Stegostoma tigrinum: one gene and its partners. The protein of the gene in region 2 interacts with the protein of the main gene of each other region in a pairwise test. Links are inferred from orthologs where the notes say so. Each region holds a gene or a part of one and is shown on either strand. Other genes may lie near its edges.

Evidence for each region.
Region 1: the proteins of DNA-binding protein SATB1-like (region 2) and E3 SUMO-protein ligase PIAS3-like interact in a two-hybrid assay, tested with the Homo sapiens proteins (2 studies listed by BioGRID and IntAct). The link is inferred for Stegostoma tigrinum from reciprocal best matches to the Homo sapiens genes SATB1 and PIAS3.
Region 3: the proteins of DNA-binding protein SATB1-like (region 2) and E3 ubiquitin-protein ligase Topors-like interact in a two-hybrid assay, tested with the Homo sapiens proteins (2 studies listed by BioGRID and IntAct). The link is inferred for Stegostoma tigrinum from reciprocal best matches to the Homo sapiens genes SATB1 and TOPORS.

What each region holds. Positions count from the first base shown.
Region 1 is NC_081400.1:478,387-486,445, reverse strand, and holds the start of E3 SUMO-protein ligase PIAS3-like, read right to left. Parts: upstream 3,049-8,059; 5' UTR 2,964-3,048; coding exon of another isoform or gene 2,957-2,963; coding exon 2,940-2,956; intron 681-2,939; coding exon 205-680; intron 1-204. UniProt on the Homo sapiens protein: Functions as an E3-type small ubiquitin-like modifier (SUMO) ligase, stabilizing the interaction between UBE2I and the substrate, and as a SUMO-tethering factor.
Region 2 is NC_081355.1:105,008,857-105,016,919, forward strand, and holds the start of DNA-binding protein SATB1-like, read right to left. Parts: upstream 3,021-8,063; 5' UTR 2,723-3,020; intron 1-2,722. UniProt on the Homo sapiens protein: Crucial silencing factor contributing to the initiation of X inactivation mediated by Xist RNA that occurs during embryogenesis and in lymphoma.
Region 3 is NC_081356.1:30,233,780-30,240,703, forward strand, and holds the start of E3 ubiquitin-protein ligase Topors-like, read right to left. Parts: upstream 3,045-6,924; 5' UTR 2,884-3,044; intron 1-2,883. UniProt on the Homo sapiens protein: Functions as an E3 ubiquitin-protein ligase and as an E3 SUMO1-protein ligase. Probable tumor suppressor involved in cell growth, cell proliferation and apoptosis that regulates p53/TP53 stability through ubiquitin-dependent degradation.

The DNA of each region.
Region 1 (8,059 bases), on a different chromosome or scaffold from region 2:
AGCAGCCCTATAGTCTGGTAAGACTATAGCAATTTTACCTTTACCTTATCTTCAGACCAAACAGGAGGTCCCATCAAATTCCAGGCGTGCTGGGCACAGAACGACCACTGGTCAACAATATCAATCCTTCCAAATCCATCAACTTCCATCCCACCCCATATCTTCCCCTCCAAGCCCCCAGGCCATTCATCACCACGGCCTTACCTAATGTGGTTGGTTTGGTCAGCTCATCGTAGATGTCATAAAATGGCAGCCTCCTCATTTTGACGTCTGGATGCACTGGGGGGGACAGATGTTGTAAATCTAATTCTCGCTTGGGAGTGAGCATGCTGAGGGGCGACAACAGTGGGGACACCAAGGCCGAGGCAGCAGAGGTACTGTAGTGAAGCTGTGGATTGCTGCCAAGAGCCAGAGATGCACTGGCTGAAGGGTGAGCCACGGCGTTCTGGACAGATAGTAAAGGCAACTCCATGGTGGTGTGGCTCTTGCGAGGGAAGCGACGCCTGTAGAGCTCTTTAATTTTCATGTGCACAGCTGGACTGCAGCCAGACTTCAGCATGTACAGCACTTTGGTCAACAGCTCGTGTTTACGGCCTGTCTTGTTCCGGCCAGAGAATCCCAGCAGCACTTGTAGTTCCGACACTCTAAAGCTCATCACCATGTGCTGCAAAACAGAGAATCTGTTAGAAACAAAAACAAGTTGCTAGAAAAGCTCAGCAAGTCTGGCAGCAGCTGTGTAGAGAAATCAGAATTAACATTTTGGATCTATTGACCCTTCCTCAGAATCTGTTAGAGTGGGGAAAAGGTAGGGCAGAGAGGCAGGGTGGAGAATGCTGAAAAGGTGGGGGCTGCAGGGCCAGGGGATAGTTTTGCATCAGTGTTGAAAAGTGGGGGCATCAAGCAAGAGATGAATTTATCAGTGTGAGCAACGAGATGCCAGGTAAATGGTTTGGTGGGTGGGAACAATGTGGATGTTGCTGCGGCTTTTGGTAATACAGAATTGGCTGGCCAACAGAAGACAGCGAGTGGTAGTAGAAGGAAAATATTCTGCCTGGAAGTCAGTGGTGAGTGGGGTTCCACAGGGCTCTGTCCTTGGGCCTCTACTGTTTGTAATTTTTATTAATGACTTGGATGAGGGGATTGAAGGATGGGTCAGCAAGTTTGCAGACGACACAAAGGTCGGAGGTGTCGTTGACAGTGTAGAGGGCTGTTGTAGGCTGCAGCGGGACATTGACAGGATGCAGAGATGGGCTGAGAGGTGGCAGATGGAGTTCAACCTGGATAAATGCGAGGTGATGCATTTTGGAAGGTCGAATTTGAAAGCAGAGTACAGGATTAAGGATAGGATTCTTGGCAGCGTGGAGGAACAGAGGGATCTTGGTGTGCAGATACATAGATCCCTTAAAATGGCCACCCAAGTGGACAGGGTTGTTAAGAAAGCATATGGTGTTTTGGCTTTCATTAACAGGGAGATTGAGTTTGAGTCGTGAGATCTTGTTGCAGCTCTATAAAACTTTGGTTAGACCGCACTTGGAATACTGCGTCCAGTTCTGGTCGCCGTATTATAGGAAAGATGTGGATGCTTTGGAGAGGGTTCAGAGGAGGTTTACCAGGATGCTGCCTGGACTGGAGGGCTTATCTTATGAAGAGAGGTTGACTGAGCTCAGTCTCTTTTCATTGGAGAAAAGGAGGAGGAGAGGGGACCTAATTGAGGTATACAAGATAATGAGAGGCATAGATAGAGTTGATAGCCAGAGACTATTTCCCAGGGCAGAAATGGCTAGCACGAGGGGTCATAGTTTTAAGCTGGTTGGTGGAAAGTATAGAGGGGATGTCAGAGGCAGGTTCTTTACGCAGAGAGTTGTGAGAGCATGGAATGCGTTGCCGGCAGCAGTTGTGGAAGCAAGGTCATTGGGGTCGTTTAAGAGACTGCTGGACCTGTATATGGTCACAGAAATTTGAGGGTGCATACATGAGGATCAATGGTCGGCACAACATTGTGGGCTGAAGGGCCTGTTCTGTGCTGTACTGTTCTATGTTCTAAGTGTGACTGTTGGGGTGAGGGAATGAAAGCTGGAAGTGGTGGAAAGCAGCTGCAAACAGGAAGTATGGAGGAGTGGTTGGTGACGGTGTTGGAAAAGGGATGGCATATCAACAGACCTGGGGAAAGGGATGTAGTTGAGAATAAGAGTGTTTATGGAAGTTTTGGGGGCTTGGTGGGGGGTGGCGGGGGGTCGTGCGGAAGATGCCAGATTGTCAGGATGGGAGGACTGCCAGCAGGGCAGTGGGGGCATGTCAGCATGGGGAGAGGGGGTTGGTGAGGGGTAGGGGGTCAGCAGAGAGGATGACAGGTCAGTGTGTGGGGGGGGTGGAAGAGGTGTGTCAGTTTGGAGGGGGGTGATGGTGTGTCAGTGTGGGGTAGGGGTGTCCGTGGTGGGGGGGGGAGGTGAAGTTGTGTCAGTGTGAGGGTGTATCGATATGATGGTTGGGAAGGGGGTCGGTAGGGGATCAGAAGGGCGAATGGCAGGTCGCTGTGGCGGGGGAGCGGAGGGTCATTGGGAAGGATGGGGTCAGAGTGGGGGCTGTCATCAGTAGGATAAGTGTCAGTGAGGAGGGGTGTCGTGCGCTTGTTTTGGTGCGGGAGGGAGTGTCAGTGAATTTAAGAGGGAACCAGTAGTATGTGTGGGGCATGATTTAGGGTGAGGTTTGGGGTGGGGGCCTGCTCTGTTACGGAGAGCCCTCCAGGCGCGCCCACGACGGTCGTTCCCCCGACGCGCGCCTCCGCGCTCGGGCCAGTTCGCTGTGGTTAGTGGGGGGAATGCTTTCCTTCTGCTCGATCAACATCGACAGCTGGCTCCACCCGGTGCCACCACTGCAGAGAACAACCCCGTCCCTCCCGCTCGCTCTCCCTCTCCCTCCCGAGACCTCCTAATACTGACCCGCAATTCCCCGTCATCCGCCATCTCCGGGCATCGCCTCGACCCCGGGCCCACCTCTCCCCGCTGACATCATCACGCAGGCGACGCAATATGGGCGTGGTCTGGATGAACGGGCGAGACAGCGGTGCGTGTTAATAAGAGGGAGGGGCCTGCGGGGTGCGCCAGTTGGAGGGAGGGCGGGTGGAGCTGGCCGTGGAGAATGGGGCAAATTGTGATCAGAGATAAAGGGAACTGCAGATGCTGGAGAATCCAAGATAACAAAGTGTGGAGCTGGATGAACACAGCAGGCCAAGCAGCATCTCAGGAGCACAAAAGCTGACGTTTTGGGCCGAGACCCTTCATCAACCCTCTCTGATGAAGGGTCTTGGCCCGAAACGTCAACTTTTGTGCTCCTGAGATGCTGCTTGGCCCGCTGTGTTCATCCAGCTTCAACACTTTGTCAGCATGGGGTAAACTTGGGTTGTCGAACTTTTGAGGGCGTGGTCCATGTAGCGGGCGTGGCTGTGGTGTGGGGGGCGGGTCTTTGGGTAGCGAGGTGTGGTCCTGCCGCGGGGAGAGGAGCCGAGTGAAGGGAGCTGTTGGAGAAGGCGGGGCCACTGAGAGGGCGGGGCCTGTTCTCCAGTGCCGTTGGGCGCGCGAGTTTCTTTTGGGCGGGAAGGAGGTGTAAAACTGGAATGAAAGAAAGAAAAAAAATTATCAGCACAGAGAAAGTGAGAATTATCAGAAAATTGGAGGAGCGGGTTTGGGGGTTCGCTGCACTCCCTCGAAAACAGGACATACTTCCTCAGAAAAGGAGCCCAAAACTGCACATAATATAAAGTAGAGGGCATAGGTTTAAGGTGAGAGGGATAAAATATAAAAATGACCGGAGAGATAAATTTTTCACGCAGAGGGTCATGCATGTATGGAACGAGCAGCTAGAGGAAGTGATAGGTGTGGGTACAATTACAACATTACTACAAAATTACAATTACTACAAAACATCTGGATGGGTACATGAATAGGACGGGATTTGGGGATATGGGACAGATACTGGCAAATGGGACTAGGCCGGATTGGAATGTCTGATCAGCGTGGATGGGTTAAACGGAAGGGTCTGTTTCCATGCTGTATGACTGAGAAGGTTAGAATACAAGAGCAGAGGCATATGGCTTAGACTGTATAAAGCTCTGGTCAGACCGCAACTGAAATATTGTAATGGAGTAATATAGGATGGAAACAGACTCTTTGGTCCAACTAATCCATGTCAAACAGGTTTCACAAACTGAACTAAATCATTATATTCCTGTATCTATCTAAATATGTTTTAAATGCTGTGACAGTCCCTGCCTCTGTCACTTCCTGCGGTGGTTTGTTCTGTTTTGGGTCCCAAGTTTCAGGAAGGATATGCTGGCATTGGAGATAATCCAGAGGAAGTTTACAAGAATGATTCTAGGGATGAAGGGCTCTACGTCTAGCTTAGAAGGATGAGATGGGATCTGTTTGAAACTTGTAGAATACTGAGAGACCTGATTAAAGTGGACATGGAGATGTTCCCACTAGTAGGAGAGACTAGGACCCAAGAGCAAGCCTCAGAGTATAGCCCTTTAGAATTGAGATGAAGGGAAATTTTTCCAACTAGAGTGTGGCGAATCTGTGGAACTGATTGCTGCAGAAGGCTCTGGAGGCCAAGTCATTGATTGTATGTAAGACAGAGAGGTTCTTAATTAGCAAGGAAATTGAGAGTTATGGGGAGAAGGCAGGAGAATGAAATTGAGAAACATATCAGCTATGATCAAACGATGAAGCAGACTTGATGGGCCACATGGCCTAAGTTTTCTCCTATACCTTATGGTCTAAGGCCGAGAGAGAAATTTATAATTTCCTTAGAGAATCAAAGGAGATAAGGCAGGAAGTGATCTGGTGGTACTAGACTGTTAATCCTGATTAGACTGATAATCAGATTAGCTATGATCTTATTGAATTGTGGAGCAGGCGGATTGGGCAGAATGGCCTACCTCTGCTCCCATACATTATAGTCTTAAATTCTTAGTTCTTGGAAGGGAGTTCCATTTTAGTGAGTTGTCGCCGATTCCATGGCTGGCAGCCCTGCAGTTCTAGTAGAGAACATTGGGACCTGTGACTATTGCTGGGATTACAGGCTGTCGAACCACATCAATTTTGATAACACAATAGGGATCCAGGTTCAACAGGCTGATCTCATACTCTGCCACTCCCTTTGCCCCATGTGGTCATATAAAATCCAGACCATGGGTTCTGGACAATGGAGATAAGTTAATGGGCATGAACAAAGCGAGACAATGACCAAACTAGGTATGGAAGGGGCAAAGCTGAAAGAAAAGGTTACCAGAGAGATTATATTTTAATACTGTCTGAGGAATGAACTTCCAGAGGAAGTATTGGATGTGGGTACAGTTCAAGATATTTGGTTAAGGAAGCTGTAGAGCGCGGGAGCCGTGGTTTACGAAGGAAATGGAATCTCTGGTCAAGAGGAAGAAGAAGGCTTATGTTAGGATGAGATGTGAAGGCTCAGTTAGGGTGCTTGAGGGTTACAAGGTAGCCAAGAAAGACCTAAAGAGAGCGCTCAGAAGAACCAGGAGAAGACATGAGAAGTTGTTGGCGGATAGGATCAGGGTAAACCCTAAGGCTTTCTATAGGTATTGAAGGAATAAAAGAATGACGAGACTAAGATTAGGTCCAAACAAGGATAGTAGTGGGAAGTTGTGTGTGGAGTCAGAGGAGATAGGGAAAGCACTAAATGAATATTTTTCGACAGTATTCACTCTAGAAAACAACAATGTTGTTGAGGAGAATACTGAGACACAGGCTACTAGACTAGGTGGGATTGAGGTTCACAAGGAAGAGGCATTAGAAATCCTACAGAGGGTGAAGATAGATAAGTCCCTTGGGCTGGATGGTATTTATCCTAGGATCCCCTGGGAAGCCAGGGAGGAGATTGCCGAGCCTTTGACATTGATCTTTAACTCGTCATTGTCTACAGGAATAGTGCCAGATGACTGGAGGATAGCAAATGTGGTTCCCCTGTTCGAGAAGGGGAGTAGAGACAACCCTGGTAATTATAGACCAGTGAGCCTTACCTCAGTTGTTGGTAAAGTGTTGGAAAAGGTTATAAGAGATGGGATTTATAATCATCTAGAAAAGAATAAATTGATTAGGGATAGTCAGCACGATTTTGTGAAGGGTAGGTCGTGCCTCACAAACCTTATTGAGTTCTTTGAGAAGGTGACCAAACAGGTAGATGAGAGTAAACCGGTTGATGTGGTGTATATGGATTTCAGCAAGGCGTTCGATAAGGTTCCCCACAGTAGGCTATCATACAAAATGCGGAGGAATGGGATTGTGGGAGATATAGCAGTTTGGATCAGAAATTGGCTTGCTGAAAGAAGACAGAGGGTGGTAGTTGAAGGGAAATGTTCATCCTGAAGACCAGTTACTAGTGGTGTACCGCAAGGGTCGATGTTAGGTCCACTGCTGTTCGTCATTTTTATAAATGACCTGGATGAGGGTGTAGAAGGATGGGTTAGTAAGTTTGCAGACGACACTTAAGGTTGGTGGAACATAGAACATACAACATTACAGCACAGCACAGGCCCTTCGGCCCTCGATGTTGTGCCGACCTGTCATACCAATCTCAAGCCCATCTAACCTACACTATTCCATGTACGTCCATATGCTTATCCAATGACGACTTAAATGTACCTAAAGTTGGCGAATCTACTACCGTTGCAGGCAAAGCCTCCATTCCCTTACTACTCTGAGTAAAGAAACTACCTCTGACATCTGAACTATATCTTTCACCCCTCAATTTAAAGCTATGCCCCCTCGTGCTCACTGTCACCATCCCAGGTAAAAGGCTCTCCCTATCCACCCTATCTAACCCTCTGATTATTTTATATGTTTCAATTAAGTCACCTCTGAACCTTCTTCTCTCTAATGAAAACAGCCTCAAGTCCCTCAGCCTTTCCTCACAACACCTTCCCTCCATACCAGGCAACATCCTAGTAAATTTCCTCTGCACCCTTTCCAAAGCTTGCACATCCTTCTTATAATGTGGTGACCAGAACTGTACGCAATACTCCAAGTGCGGCCGCACCAGAGTTTTGTACAGCTGCAGCATAAATTCTTGGTTCCGGAACTTGATCCCTCTATTAATAAAAGCTAAAACACTGTATGTCTTCTTAACAGCCCTGTCAACCTGGGTGGCAACTTTCAAGGATCTGTGTACATGGACACCAAGATCTCTCTGCACATCTACACTACCAAGAATCTTACGATTAGCCCAGTACTTTGCCTTCCAGTTACTCCTACCTAAGTGCATCACCTCACATTTGTCCGCATTAATCTCCATTTGCCACCTCTCAGACCAGCTCTGCAGCTTATCTATGTCTCTCTGTAACCTACAGCATCCTTCTTCACTATCCACAACTCCACTGACCTTAGTGTCATCTGCAAATTTACTAACCCATCCTTCTACGCCCTCATCCAGGTCATTTATAAAAATGACAAACAGCAGTGGACCCAACATCGACCCTTGCGGTACACCACTAGTAACTGGTCTCCAGGATGAACATTTCCCATCAACTACCACCCTCTGTCTTCTTTCAGCAAGCCAATTTCTGATCCAAACTGCTATATCTCCCACAATTCCATTCCTCCGCATTTTGTACAATAGCCTATTGTGGGGAACCTTATCGAACGCCTTGCTGAAATCCATATACACCACATCAACCAGTTTACTCTCATCTACCTGTTTGGTCACCTTCTGAAAGAGCTCAATAAGGTTTGTGAGGCACGACCTTCCCTTCACAAAACCGTGCTGACTATCCCTAATCAATTTATTCTTTTCTAGATGATTATAAATCCTACCCCTTATAACCTTTACCAACAACTGAGGTAAGGCTCACTGGTCTATAATTACCAGGGTTGTCTCTACTCCCCTTCTCGAACAGGGGAACCACATTTGCTATCCTCCAGTCATCTGGCACTATTCCTGTAGACAATGACGAGTTAAAGATCAATGTCAAAGCCTCGGCAATCTCCTCCCTGGCTTCCCAGAGGATCCGAGGATAAATCCCATCCGGCCCGGGGACTTATGTATC
Region 2 (8,063 bases):
CAGTACTGCATGGAAAAAGAGTGCTCACTTTCGCCAATAATATGGTCATTAGTTTATACACAATTTAATCTGTATACTAAATTGAAAGTAGCTGAAGAGGCCCCAAATTACCAAGTTGTTATTCAAGTAAATCTTCAAGTTGATATATGTGATCCTGTTGCACATATAGGGACAATATGGGCTAGAAATGTCTCTGAGACCACCTTCAAATTTGAGCATTTCTATACATGCATCCAAACTGTACTGCCAAAAATGCTAATGTATGAAGCATCCTCTGAGTATCATGTTTGTGACTTTGATGGAATTCTTCTTGTTATTATTATATCAGAAAAAACTGCGTGCACAACCTAGAAGCACATTCTTGCACTCAAGTCAACTTCTTTCCAGTACAGTTACCTATTGGAATAATATTCTCACCAAGCAGTTACATAAAAATATCTCTTAAACTTGATGCAGTTATTTCAAGGAAACATACTTTAAACGTGGTTTAATAGATTATCCCCAGCCATGATTATGTATTTAAGAAAATTGGGTCAGTTCCGCCAATGGGGTAACATCTATACACAAATGTAGACATTTTGAATTGAAACTGGTGTTACATTGATGTCTGAGTTAGGTTAGGTAATAAAGAACTAAGAAAATAAAGAAGTCTTGTTACTAAGGAGTGGAAGCATTAACTGAGGCTCCCCCTTATGCCTTGCAACACAACGGGATTAACTTTAATCCAATTGACAAGGTGGGAAACAAAAGCAGAAATTGCTGGAAAACCTCAGCAGGTCTGGCAGCAACTATGGAGAGAAGACCAGAGTTCGCATTCTGGGTTCAGTGACTTTTCTTCAGACCCAGAATGTTTTTTTTCTAGCAACTTGTTTATTTTTATTGCCAGCATTTGCATTTCTTTTTTGTAAATCAGATGGGAAACTTCTGGGATACTGTTTTTAACACCTTGCACAATATTGTCCTTCATCGACTTAAATAGCATGAAAATTCATGCAGAATAGAAAATTAAGCCTTTGTCTCACTGTAGGGCCATCCTTGGCAATGTCTTATTATGGACCGCATCTCACAATAGGCAACACCTCATCTTGGACAGTGTCTTGCAGTGGGCAGTGTCTCACTATAGTCAGTGTCTTGCCATGGACAATATCATACTATGAAAAATGTCCCATTATGGGCAATGGCTCACTGTGGACTATGGTTCCCTATAGGGAAAGCCTCATCATGGGCAAATGTCTTATTATGGAGAAAGACTTATGATGGGAAAGCCTTAGTGTGGACAATGCCTCACTGGGGTAATGTCTGACAATGGATGATACTTCATCATGGGTAATATTTAGCTCTGAGCAATGTCTTGTCATAGGCATTTTCTCACCATGGACAAGGCCTTATAGGAGTGAATCACTCACTGTGAAAAATCTCTCCCCACTGATGCCCTCATGCCAGGAAGGGAAGTGTAGGGTAATTGGCTTACGGAGCATCAAGGTGTGATCATCTTTCTGGGCATCTTCCTATGTTTGGAGACAATGAGAATAGGAATTCCAGTCTAAGAACTTTGGTTTTGCAAAAATGAATACAAAAAAGAAGCTGTAATGTCTGTGGAAAAGATGGCAAGCATCAAGCAAGCGACTGCAGCAGCACGTGGACTGGTACGAGACCAGTTAGAGCTGAGGAAGAGCCTGTCTAAGGCAGGCTGGCTGCAGAACTGCCAGATGTGAAAAGAAAGTAAGATTGGGAAAGTCGACTGGAGTTCCTAGAACCTGGAAGACAGTCGTTAGTGAGATGGACGTATTAGTTGAATTTAGCGAGGCCTGCTTTTTGGTTTGTGCAAATCTCATGTCAGAGATTTGTTTTATTACACTTCATCGCCAGTGTGGCTGTTTTTACATTTAGCGTATTATACTACTTAGATGAGATGTGAACATATATGATAGCGAGATGGGTCAGCTCAGGTCAAATGCTGGAGTGAACATTTACATAGTTAGTGGAGACATTTTTTTTAAAAAGCCAACGTCTGTAATAATGCAAGAACTAGGTGCGTGAGAAATGGTTTACAGTAATACGCTACACAACTCCTGAAGGCTCAAGCACAAAATAGCTTCTGGTATCGTCTATTTGCCCGTAGTGAGACAAAGTCCATGAGATCATAGGACACACTTAATAAACACAGGACGAGCTTAATTTGAGGTACAATCCCCAGTAAGGATTACGGTTTCATTCTGCTCTGGTTCACATCCTGACACACTCACAGTCTTGCAGTTAAACTATGATAGATACTCTCCGATAATCGAGCGTGTTATTTCAGACAGACTGATTAATGTTATAAACCCGAACATTATAGGGGCAATGCAAGAGTATCCATCGGGGATGTCAAAAGCTGAGGGGGGGGGGCATTTAAATATGTGATTACGTCCACAAAGATCTTACTCACGTCAAGTGTTTCCTTCAGGTTAGACTACTAAAAAGTTAAACTGGTTCCAGGACACGACAACTCTTAGTGACACAGCACACAAGCTCCGAACCGCTACACTCACGAGAAGCGCGCATATACCGCACGCGTTCTTTCCCTGCAGTCTGACATGTTGAAAACAATTTCTCAGAATAAGGTGGCAAATTGTTGCCGCAAAATCGCCCTCACCACAAAGTGCACACACAGAGGCAGCCACAAATCACAAGGGAATTTCGAACAAAAGCTACGGAACACGCTCGCCCGAGTAAACAGTACCTTAGAATTGTCGCCGCATTTAAAGTTGCAGTTTTCTCTTGCCCCCCTCCCCCCTTAAATGTGCAGAGAGACACACCGGAGCGAACACTCCGCAGTCGCGTCGATCAGCAATAATCTTCCAAGCCCTGAGACTTATTGATTTGGCAAACACAAACTTCTCCCGGATCCGCGTCTTGTGTGGTACAGTTGAGAGCAGATTTTGTTTTAAGAAAAGGAACGATCAGATCAGTGCGGGGGCAAAGTATGGGACGTGTCTGGTGCAGTTTATTCACAGGAAATCAGCCTAGTGAAACATGCAAACACTTCCAGTTGTCGTTATTTGTTGAATGGAGGTGAACCGCAACAGGAAAGGGGGTGGCGATGCGGAGCTTTCAGTACAGCCATCCCGGAGACCAGGCGCACCTTCAGCGGGGCGGCAGGGAGAGAGACAGAGAGAGCAGCTATCAGTCTCCGGGACAGTCGCTGGCAAAACCCGCACTGTTAAAGCCCACAAACCGCCGGCCCCCAGTGATCTGAGCTCTCGAAATACATCGTGCCCTGCTTGAAACTGAAAGTAGCAAAGAAGGGCTGGCTGACTATTTTAGGTATCGCAGAAGAGGATTGCATGATTTACCCGCAAATCGTCTACTCTCAGCTGGAAACCAACAGGACTGACTGGAAATTTTTTCTTAAAGCAAATGATAAAGACAAGATTGCTTTGGCACAGCGTAGTTTAGTTTGGAAATGAACGATTGCAAAGTGAATGAATTTCAGACCGCGATTCCACCCTCCCCCCGTCCGCCCCGGTCCTCTACCCTCACAGACAGAAGGTAGAGTTCCAGACCCTCAACTTGAATAGTTCAGAAATACTTAAGCTCAACAGACAACCAGGGCTGTGATACAGCCAACACCCCCCCCCCCCCGCCCCACACACACACACACCCTAGCACGACTATTTGGTTATGTTACGACTTATTCATTTCTCTTCTTTTTTGGCTATTTGTATTGAAAGCCCGAACGATCCGCTGAGTTTTTATTACGAGGGAGAAGCAATAGGGAATAAACGGCAGCTCCACGGTAAAGAGCTGGACATTCATTTTCTTTGCATTCCGGTTTTGAAGTTCTTAAAACCCTCGATGTCATTGAACCCAAATATTGGCTTCTCCACTGAACTCACACCCTTCAGTTGCGCTTTCCAGAATGTGAAAGTATTTTCCTCATCCACTTCCAGGGTGCTGAATCCCATTTCATAGCCTCTCTCTCTGCCTCATGTCCCCTCTGTCTCTGCCTCTAGTATTTCAAAATGACTTCAAGTTCCCCTGTCCCCCGGTCTGATCCACGAAGCACCTCGTAATGACTCAGGACCTTTACAACAGTGATATTATTTCAAATAGTTGGTCCAGGAAGTACATTTGATAACGTGTGATTTATAGATCGAACCCAGTAACTGATGTAAGTTTTTTGCTACAATTACAACGTCCAGGTCAGCTAGCGATAACTGGATCTTGATAAAACAAACATTTTATTATCTGAAATACATGGATTGTGTCTTTGAGGACTGAGAGTTAGCAATGAACAGCGAAATCACAATCAAATTGTCTTTGTCATTTCCGTGTGATTTAGACAAATGTTGCTCACTATTTCACGAATTATGTTCTATGTTCTATGAACAACTTTAGGTCGAGTGGTTCCTGTTATCGAACCCACCTCCTTTGTCTTAATAAGAATAGTTTCTGGTTGAGAAGTCTTATTGGTTCAGGTTGATAAAATTGTATCAGTTTCACGATAACTGCAGTGAACTTTAATATTTATTGTTACAGAAATAAAACGATACATTGATGTACAACAGTTAATCTTCGACGCAGCTGCACCAAGTGAAAATTTATGCTATTTATGCCCCCCGTGTGACAACGCAAGGATTAAAATTATATTTTGATGTGTAAACTTAGCCTATCAAAGAGTGTTTTCTGAAAATATTAGCTATTTAGTCTGAGGATATGTATTGGGTTTAAGTGGCAATGCATACTTTAGACTAACGTTTGTTTTCCCTCAAGGTATCATTTACTTCGCGCGCTGCATTCTACTTTGGATGCAGCATGTTTAAAACAAGAAATAATTGCAGATCTATTCAGCAAGGCGCCAGTCACACAACATTTTATTATTAACCAGGCGGATCCCAACCAGCTGTAGTTTAAATATTGTTTTAGAGTTCAGGTAACATTACCCGACTCAGAACAGTCAATACTCGTTTCAGGTAATATTAGGCGCATTCATCAAGTTAAGTGTACGGAACAGAAATAAAATGACCATTGCTATTTCGAGGCTTGGTTCTTCCAACCCTGCATATAGCTAAAGCTATATTTCTGCTGCTGTCCCAACAGTCACATTGATTTAAAATGTTACTGCCATTTTATGCTGAGGGCTAATCTTACATGGGTCGAATGTGATTTGTTCGGTAATCATATATTAAATTGACAGAAGTGAATTTTTCTCCAAAACTATAGTCTTCATAGATTGTGGTTAATCTCAGCAAGTATGTCCACTTGGTGGCGCACTTCATAACTATCTGGCTATATCTTCCCAAAAGATCAAGTTCAAAAAAACAAATTTGCCTATTTAGGACCTCCGCACCTTGCAGAGGTTGTTTCATTGACTACATTACAGTCACTCAATATCCTTGTTTTAATGTTCTTAACTAAACGAAATGAGCTAACCACATTATTGCTAAAATCAGGCGCAAGGTGAGTGAACTACAGAAATATATTGAATTAGTACAAAGCAAGTGCCTTAATAAATAGGATATAGCATTTTAGATTTGACTATCCGAGGTTAAAATAAACTCTAAATTGACACCTTTACCAGTATTGGATTTAATTTTCAGACAGTTAATGAAGTAGAATTTCGTGTTTTTGTCACTTGCTTAATCAAAAGTTATCAGGCTGGCAAATTTTGCATGATTTTCACCCAAATAACAAGTTACTCAAAGAAAATAGTGCAAAATATTCTGGTGTTGCAAATGTGAGTTGCATCTGTAAATAAATTGGCCCTAGTGTTAGCAATTATTCCTGTCTGTTCAAAGACCCCTCAGCTTTTTTTTCAAAATGGAGTGTATGAATGCAGTATACCTTTAAGCACATCTGATTGTGTCAGATTGTTTTCTTAAACAAAAGTGAAATTGTAAACATATTCAAGGGCAATCTTTTGAGTTACTATAAACATTTAAACTTGATCATAGGCACTACCTTGATGGCATCAAGTATTACTGAAGCAGTACAGTCGGACTTGCAAAAGTTATGTGTTTTGCAAACAACATGTTATACATTTGTAATGGTTTCAGAACAAAATTGGGGCCTCACCAGATATTTATTGCAATAATTACTTCCATGACTTCTGGCTACCCAAAAGCACTTTAGACCAATGAATTACTATGAGAAAATAGTAGCTGTTGTACTTTAGGAAACCATGTGCCACAGTAAGGTGCCACAAAAGAAAATATCATAAGTGGTCACATCATTTGTTTTTCTTGCTGCATGAGAAATAAATGCTGGCCAGCATACTAGGATAACTCCCCTGATCTTCTTCCACCCAATATGATCCAAAATCATAGATTAGATTCCAACCTTTTACCAAATGATAAACATTTTGTGTTTCCCTAGAGAAAATACTTACAAACTGCTAAAAGTGAGTGATTAGAATTTGTTACTATGTCTATTGTTTTCTGTATTTTTCTAACACTATCTTTAAGAATTAGGATTGCATTACCTCTCTAAATGCTGTCCAGAGATTCAAATCTCACTTTTTAAGTCCCAGACTGAATAAAGAAGTGCTCTTATTTCATAGTTTTCCATTCTATTTATTCCAGGTGTTATCAAAATAAAACATCTCATCATTTTATAGGGTAAAAATCTACATTGTAAAAGCTTTAATAAAAATATCATTGTTGAAAATCATTTTGTATGTCCTATCTTAATTTTCTTGTCTTTGTTAATATTCTACCAATAAATCACCACATTTATTGGCTTGCTATTGTCCTTTCCTTTGTGCACTCACTTTTCTCCTGTCCCATATTTTCCCACTTTTCTACTAGTTTTACTCTAAGAGTAGAATAATTAAGTGTAACCCAACTGGATTTCTCTCACAATTTCTTCCTGCCTTTGATACTGTCTGAAATCCACTCAGTGTTTGCTTATTGTGCTTGAAATTAAAAAAGAGTATTATACGACCAATAAATATTAATTCATATAAACTATTTGAACTGCAACCTATTGTTTATTTATTGATGCAATTAAAGGAAAAGATCTGTTGGAGATACCTTGTTCCTAAATAAGATGAACTTTAAGAATGTGCTGTTTTTCCATGAACAGCCTTTGTTTTGTTTTAAATCATACCATATGAGTTCTCAAAACAATTTCTTTGAAGGTTAATATGTGACCTTATGTTTAATTGTGTGTGACTGCTTTTTAGGTCATTTTATCACAAGAATGTTTCCTGTGAATCTTAACAAAGATGCATACTCACTATACTATTATTTAGCAAACTATTGTTTTCACTTCAACTTCAGAAGTCCAGACTGATTTGCAATATTTCAATCAATTTCATGAAGCAACTTAGAACACATATTGGCCTGGGTTTTATGGTTACTAGCAGAAGTGGTGCCCATCATTAACCCAGAAGAAAGCTACCAAAACAATCGAGTGATATTTGTACTGTGAAGTTCCCTTATCATCATGGCAGTTTTAATCCGGTGCTATGTAACGAGATCTTTGTGTGTTCGGTAGTACTGATGTTAGCAACCGCAAAATGTGGACACCACTGATTAGGCCAGAATTCATTGTAAATCCGTATGAAGATGGTAGTGAACTGCCTTCTTGAATTACTGTAGGTACACCCACAGCATATTTGACCTGGCAACAGTGAAAGAACAAAAACATAGTTCTAAGTCAATATACTGTGTTACTTTAAGAGGAATGTTCCCATGCATCTGCTGTTCCTGTTCTGACATGTAGAAGTCACAGACTTGGAAGATGCTGTTAGTGGACCTGAGCTGCAGCATCTCGATATATCATACAGCTTGGGTGTGGTGTGAAAAGGTGTTTGGATTAATATTTTAGCAACAATAAACAACAGCATATAATAATAAAGCACTTTTAAATGAATTAAAATACCACAAGGCTCCTGACAGGAAGAGTACAAGGCATTTGACACAGAACCGCATAAGAACACATCCAGAGAAATGCAGAATCACTGACAGCAACATCTGAATCTCTGTTATTCCAATCTTGTGTCCATTCTATTCTATCGAGACTGAGGGCAACGTATAATGCTGGCGAATACTACTAATTGTGGTTATTGCCAATGCAAG
Region 3 (6,924 bases), on a different chromosome or scaffold from region 2:
ACTTGAAAAACATTTACTTAATGTGAAATTATCTTTTGATGGGTAACATTTCCCTTCTGAACACAGTGCCTGCATTTAAAAAGCAAGGACATCTGTCTCTCCATTTTTTTCAGGATTCTAATTCAATCAATGGGTGTACCGACATAATCCTTCTTGAAAACAAAATCTTGATGCACAAAAGTATCTCGTCCTGCTATAGTGCAGGAAAGAACTGGCCAAAACAGAAACAGAGATCCACTGATATACAGTGCAGTCACAATATCAATAAAAGGGATCAGCACTCACTCCATTTGTATATGGAAGACTGAAGTCATCTTGTCACCAGAACTTTCCAACAAGCACCAAGACCTAGCCTGGCTAGCAATGAAAAGGGTATCAGCTGTCAGATCCTTCATGCATAGCCAGTCTCCGGCCACAACCGCATGCTGCTGTGGTGGCTATCACACATCTCTTTCTGGAATGTGCCTTTGCAATTAAGGTCAGGAGAGAGATGCAGTGGTTTTTGTCAAGTTTCATCCTGGGCAGCTCTGTGACACAGGCCTCTGTGATCTATAGGCTAGTCTCTAAGTCACACACCAAAACAAACAGTGACTGCACTTGGAGGGCCATGGACTCAATGACAGACACTCTTTAGTCTGCCTGAAACTTGTTGGTCTTCCAGTGCAAACAGTTTACCTCGACTGAGCGCTGCAGACTGGAACATGCGAAGGTCCAGGCTCCATTCTGAGGAATGCACAACAGCTTGGGGCAGCTGCTGCCAAGGCACAGACTACAGTCTTACTTGGCAGTCCTTCTGCCAAAATATAATGAGGGGAGATATGTTACGTTTCAAGATAGCCTTGTAACCTTAATGAAAATGTAAATAGTTTCCTCTCACGATTATAAAATACCTTTTTGTTGCAACTGGATTGAAATTCTGGTGCATGTCAAAATTCTTGTTGTGCTTATTTAAAGATAATTTATGAATGAATATATTTTTGAAACAAATGCGTGGATGCTGATGTCTGTTAGTATTTTCTCATGCTTTAGAAGCTCTCATTGACAGGCACAGGTGTTGCATGCAGAATCCTAATGGTCTCGGGGTATTATTGCTAGACTATTAATCCAGAAACTCAATTAATGTTTTGGGGATCCAGGTTCATATCTGCTACAGCAGATGGTGGAATCTGAATTCAATGTCTGCCTACATGTGACTCCAGATCCACAGAAATGTGACTGACCCTGAAATGCCACTTTGAGATGGCCTAGCAAGTCACTCCAGGAATCAGCAATAAACACTGGCCAGCCAGTGATGCCTACAATTTGTAGAGCTACAAGGTGACAAGGCAGCAAAAATAAAACAATTCGAGGACAGAGACTTTTAAAACCAGAACCTGAGCCATAGCCAGTGATGCCTACGTCCCATGAATGAAATAAAAAGAGACCATAGTTCGAGATAACAAAGTGTGAAGCTGGATGAACACAGCAGACCAAGCAGCATCGCAGGAGCACAAAAGCTGACGTTTCGGGCCTAGACCCTTCATCTGATGAAGGGTCTAGGCCCGAGACATCAGCTTTTGTGCTCCTGAGACGCTGCTCGGCCTTCTGTGTTCATCCAGCTTCACACTGTTATCTTGGGCTCTCCAGCATGTGCAGTTCCCATTATCTCTGATCAGAGATTGTAGTTCACTTTATTCTGTCTCAAATGGAACCTCAAATTACGACAAGGTGGTACCACCTTTACATGCACCAGCGATCCTTGTAACATCTCAGTGAAATGCCAAATTAGAGAATGAGAGTTCACTATCCCAGAACTTTGCCCAGATGTATTTCATACAAGTTTTTCATGCTGTCAAAAGCAGATTTCAGAACCAAAAGAACGGTTTGTTCAGTGGTTACATCAGGCCATTTCTAATCTTTTATTGCAAACATCTGGTTATCTTTACATGGCTAAAAAGTGGATTTCTGCTTAAACAGAGAGAAAAGCTGGTGTAAAGTAACTGACACTTTTGTAGACGTTCTAATACAGGAATGGGCAGAATACTTTGCCCTCTGAGGCTGGTTTATCTGTCATCATGCGAAGGTACTGGTGTTGGACTGGGGTGGACAAAATCAGACATTACATGACACCAGGTTACTGTCCAACAGGCTTATTTGAAATCACAAGCTTTTGAAGTGTTACAGAGAAGAAGGGTCCTGACCCGAAACGTCAAACTTTCCTGCTCCTCTGATGCTGCTTGGCCTGCTGTATTCATCCAGCTTCACACCAAGTTATCTTTTTGACATGCTACTCCTTCATCAGGTGACTACGAAAGCACTTCAAAAGCTCGTGATTTCAAATAAATCTGTTGGACTATAACATGCTATCATGTGACTTCTGATATTTTCCCTCATCAGTAAGATGATGGCAGAACCCCAATCAGCCACACCTCAAACCCCTAACTCTTCCAGCAAAAATCTATAATGCTCACAGACTTATGTAAGGATTGTGCTTTGAAGGAGAGGATTCCACACTTCTACCACCTTTTGTGTGAAGAGTTGCTTCCTGAATTGTCTGGCTCTTTAATTTCATGATTGAGCTGGAACCTCCCTCCACGGAAGGAATACCAAGAATACCACCAAAACAATAAGAGAAACTGCTGGAAAAACTCAGCAGGTCTGGCAGCATCCGTGCAGAGAAATCAGGGTTAATGTTTTGAGTCCAGCGACCTTCCCTCAGAATTGATGCCACTGACTCAGGTTCTGGTTTAAAAGTCTCTGGCCTCGAATTGTTTTATTTTAGCTGCCTTGACATCTCGTAGCTCCACAAATTGTTCCACGGGGTGCTCACTGAGGTGACAGACCAGAATGCCTACGCCTGGCCCCAGTACCCAGGCAGTTTACCCCTCCCAGGATCTCTCTTACCTGCTGCAGCCGCTCACTGCCCGATCCTCCACACACTTCACTCGAATTATACAGTATTGTAACTGCAACTCTTTTCCTTTTCCTTAAATGCTATAGCATCCCGCGCCCCCCTTCTTCTCCTCTTCCTCCTGGATCCGACCGTGAACATTTGCTCGGATTATTCCCACTTAAAGCCCCCACCCACCCCACTCCCTACCCCTTAGGCTCAGTCTGGGGACAAGCCACTGCCTGTGAGGAGGTGACACCATCACACAAGCGCAGTAAGTGACGGCGTCGCACTGGCCGCCGGGACGCTGGAGGACTACCCGGCCCGAGACGTCAGAAGACCCACAACTGGCCTCCGCCTTCACATGCACCACCCACCGTCACGCTTTGGCCGCCGGGAAAGTGGAGGACCCACTCCGCGACCCTCGGAGGACCGGCTGAGAGAGCGGTGTGAAGTCGTTTCTGCCCGACGCAGCGATGCCGAAGAATTTTGGTTTCGCTGAATCAGGATATCTCAGCCACGGGGATTTACTGCACCAACCCAAAAAGTGGTAGAAGGCGGTGTGGTGCTATTTTAGATCACAAATTATAAAAAAAGGTGGAGAAGAAACCCATCATCTGTGGAGAGAGAGAGAGAATAGCAGGGTTAACGTATCGGGTTCGATCCGAGTCTTTCCCGGAGTGCTTTGCTTTGGTTTGCTTTTTAAATCTCCTTGGCCTTTTATTTTGATATTTGTGAGTGCAGCCTCCAGTGATCGGCTTTGTCGGGTTGCCATAGCCAAGGACCATGATCCGTGTGAGTAAGCGAACGCTGGACTGGATTTATTCCGTTGTGAGTATCATCTCTGGACAGCAGGGAGGGGGTTCTGGCCACATCAGAGCCCTGGAGATGAGCCTCTGATTGCTGAATGCACCAGGGGCAATTCTAGAGAGCTGGCACCTTCGCTGAGTGAACAGGGGCATTGGGTTAAAGTGAGTAAAGTCACCATAGTCCTGCGGGATTTTTCATTTTTTCATTAATTTCTCATTAGAGAGAGAGAGAGAGACGGCCGCTGGTAGCTTCAGCCGAGAGTCACTACACAGCTGGTGAGGAGAGAGACTTATCCTAGGATTCTCTGGGAAGCTGGGGAGGAGATTGCAGAGCCTTTTTGGCTTTGATCTTTAACTCGTCATTGTCTACAGGAATAGTGCCAGAAGACTGGAAGATAGCAAATGTCCCATTGTTCAAGAAGGGGAGTAGAGACAATCCTGGTGATTTTCGACCAGTGAGCCTTACTTTGGTTGTGGGTAAAGTGTTGGAAAGGATTATAAGAGATAGGATTTATATTCGTCTAGAAAGGAATAATTTGATTAGGGATAGTCAACATGGTTTTGTGAAGGGTAGGTCGTGCCTCACAAATCTTATTGAGTTCTTTGAGAAGGTGACGAAACAGGTGGATGAGGGTAAAGCGTTTGATGTGGTGTTTATGGATTTCAGTAAAGCATTTGATAAGGTTCCCCATGGTGGGCTATTGCAGAAATTACAGAAGCATGGAATTGAGGATGATTTAGCGGTTTGGATCAGAAATTGGCTAGCTGTAGGAAGACAGCGGGATGGTTGATGGGAAATGTCATCCTGGAGTTCAGTCACTAGTGGTGTACTGCAAGGATCTGTTTTGGGGCCACTGCTTTTTGTCATTTTTATAAATGACCTGGATGAGGGCATAGAGGATGGGTTAGTAAATTTGTGGATGACACTAAAGTCACTGGAGTTGTGGATAGTGTGGAAGGATGTTGCAGGTTACAGAGGGACATAGATAAGCTGCAGGGCTGGGCTGAGAGGTGGCAAATGGAGTTTAATGCGGAGAAGTGTGAGGTGATTCACTTTGGAAGGAGTAACAGGAATACAGAGTAGTGGGCTAATGGTAAGATTCTTGGTATGGGGATGAGCAGAGAGACCTCGGCGTCCATGTGCATAGATCCCCGAAGGTTGCCACCCAGGTTGATAGGGTTGTTAAGAAGGCATATGGTGTGTTATGTGTTATTGGCAGAGGGATTGAGTTTCATGAGCTGTACAAAACTCTGGTGCAGCCACATTTGGAATATTGCGTACAGTTCTGGTTGCCGCATTATAGGAAGGATGTGGAAACTTTGGAAAAGGTGCAGAGGAGATTTACCAGGCTTTTACCTGGTATGGAGAGAAGGTCTTATGAGGAAAGGTTGAGGGACTTGAGTCTGTTTTCGTTAGAGAGAAGAAGATTAAGAGGCGACTTAATAGAGGCATACCAGATGATCAGAGGATTAGATGGGGTGGACAGTGAGAGCCTTTTTCCTCGGATGGTGATGGCTAGCACGAGGGGACGTAGCTTTTAATTGAGGGGTGATAGAAATAGGACAGATGTCAGAGGTAGGTTCTTTACTCAGAGAGTAGTAAGGATGTGGAATGCCCTGCTTGCAACAGTAGTAGACTCGCCAACTTTTAAGGGTATTTAAATGGTCATTGGATAAACATATGGATGATAATGGAATAGTGTAGGTTAGGTGGGTTTCAGATTGGTTTCACAGGTCGGTGCAACATTGAGGGCCGAAGGCCCTGTACTGCACTGTTATGTTCTATGTTTTGTGGAGGGACCATTGAGTACAGGAGCAGCGATGCGTGGTACAGTTATACAGGGCCTTGATGAGAATATTGTGTTCAGTTTTGTCTACTTTTCTGAGGAAGGATGCTCTTACTTTCGAAGGAGTGCAGCATAGGTTTATCAGGCTGATTCCAGGGATGGCGGGTCTGACGTATGTGGAGAGATTGACTAGGTTGGGATAACAAAATGTAGAGCTGATGAACACAGCAGGTAAGGCAGCATCAGAGGAGCAGGAAAGCTGACGTTCCGGGTCTGGACCTTTCTTAAGAAGGGTTGGAGTGAGTTTTCACTAGGTTGGGATTGTTTTTGCTGGAGTTCGGATGAATGAGGGGGATCTCATAGAGACTATAAAGTTCTGAAACGACTGAAGAGGGTAGATGCAGGGAGGATGTTCCCGATGGTGGGTGTGCCCAGAACCAGGGGTCACAGTAAAAGGACTTGCAGTAGACTTCTTAGGACAGAGATGAAAAGATATTTCTCTACTCAACAAGTGGCGAACCTGAGGAATTCATTACCACAGGAAGCAGTTGATGTCAAACATTGAATGTATTCAAGAGGCAACTAGATGTCGCCCTTGGGGTGAACAGGATCAAAGGTTTTGGGGAGAAAGCAGGATTAGGCTATCGAGTTGGATGATCAACTATGATTGTGAAGAATGGTAGAGCAGGCTTGAAGGGTCAAATGGCCTCCTCCTGTTCCTATCTTCTATGTTTCTATGTTTCATCCTAACCTCAGATGGTGCAGGAATTGCAGCCATGCTGTTGGCATTACTTTGCATCGCAAATCGGTTAATTGAAACAGGAAGCACATTTTTTGCATCCATAGATGTGTATTCCTCTGCAAAACCTTGTATTAAAATTCAATTTGCCATTGTTTTGCCCTCTGTCTAACTCTTGGATTTTGATCATTTTGATTTGTAGTGAGCGTAAGAGTAGGAGCAGAGGTGGGCATTTCAGCCCAAAGAGCCTGCTATTGCCATTCAGTGAGATTATGGTTAATCCAATAATCTTCAACTCCACCCTCATGCCTTTTCCCCATAACCCTTGATTCCCTTATTGATTAAAAATCTATCTGTCTCAGCTTTGAACTTACATAAAAACCCAGTCTCTGCAGTAAATAGTTCCACAAGTTAACTGCCCTCTGAAAGCCAGAATTCCTCATCATCTTTGTAAAAAGTGATCCCCTATTCTGAGATTATCTTGTGGTTCGAGACACTCGCGCAAGGGGAAGCAACCTTTCCACATCTATCCTGTTAAATCTCCAAAGAGACTCGTATCTTTTCTAAAGGTGACCTCTTATTCTTCCAAACTCCAATGAACACAGGCCCAACCTCCTCAACCTGTCCTCACAAGTCTTCCCTCCATCACTGGTATCAGTTTGGTGAACCTTCTCTGGACTGCCTCTTATGCAAGTGTATTTTCTGTAGATAAGGGTCTCA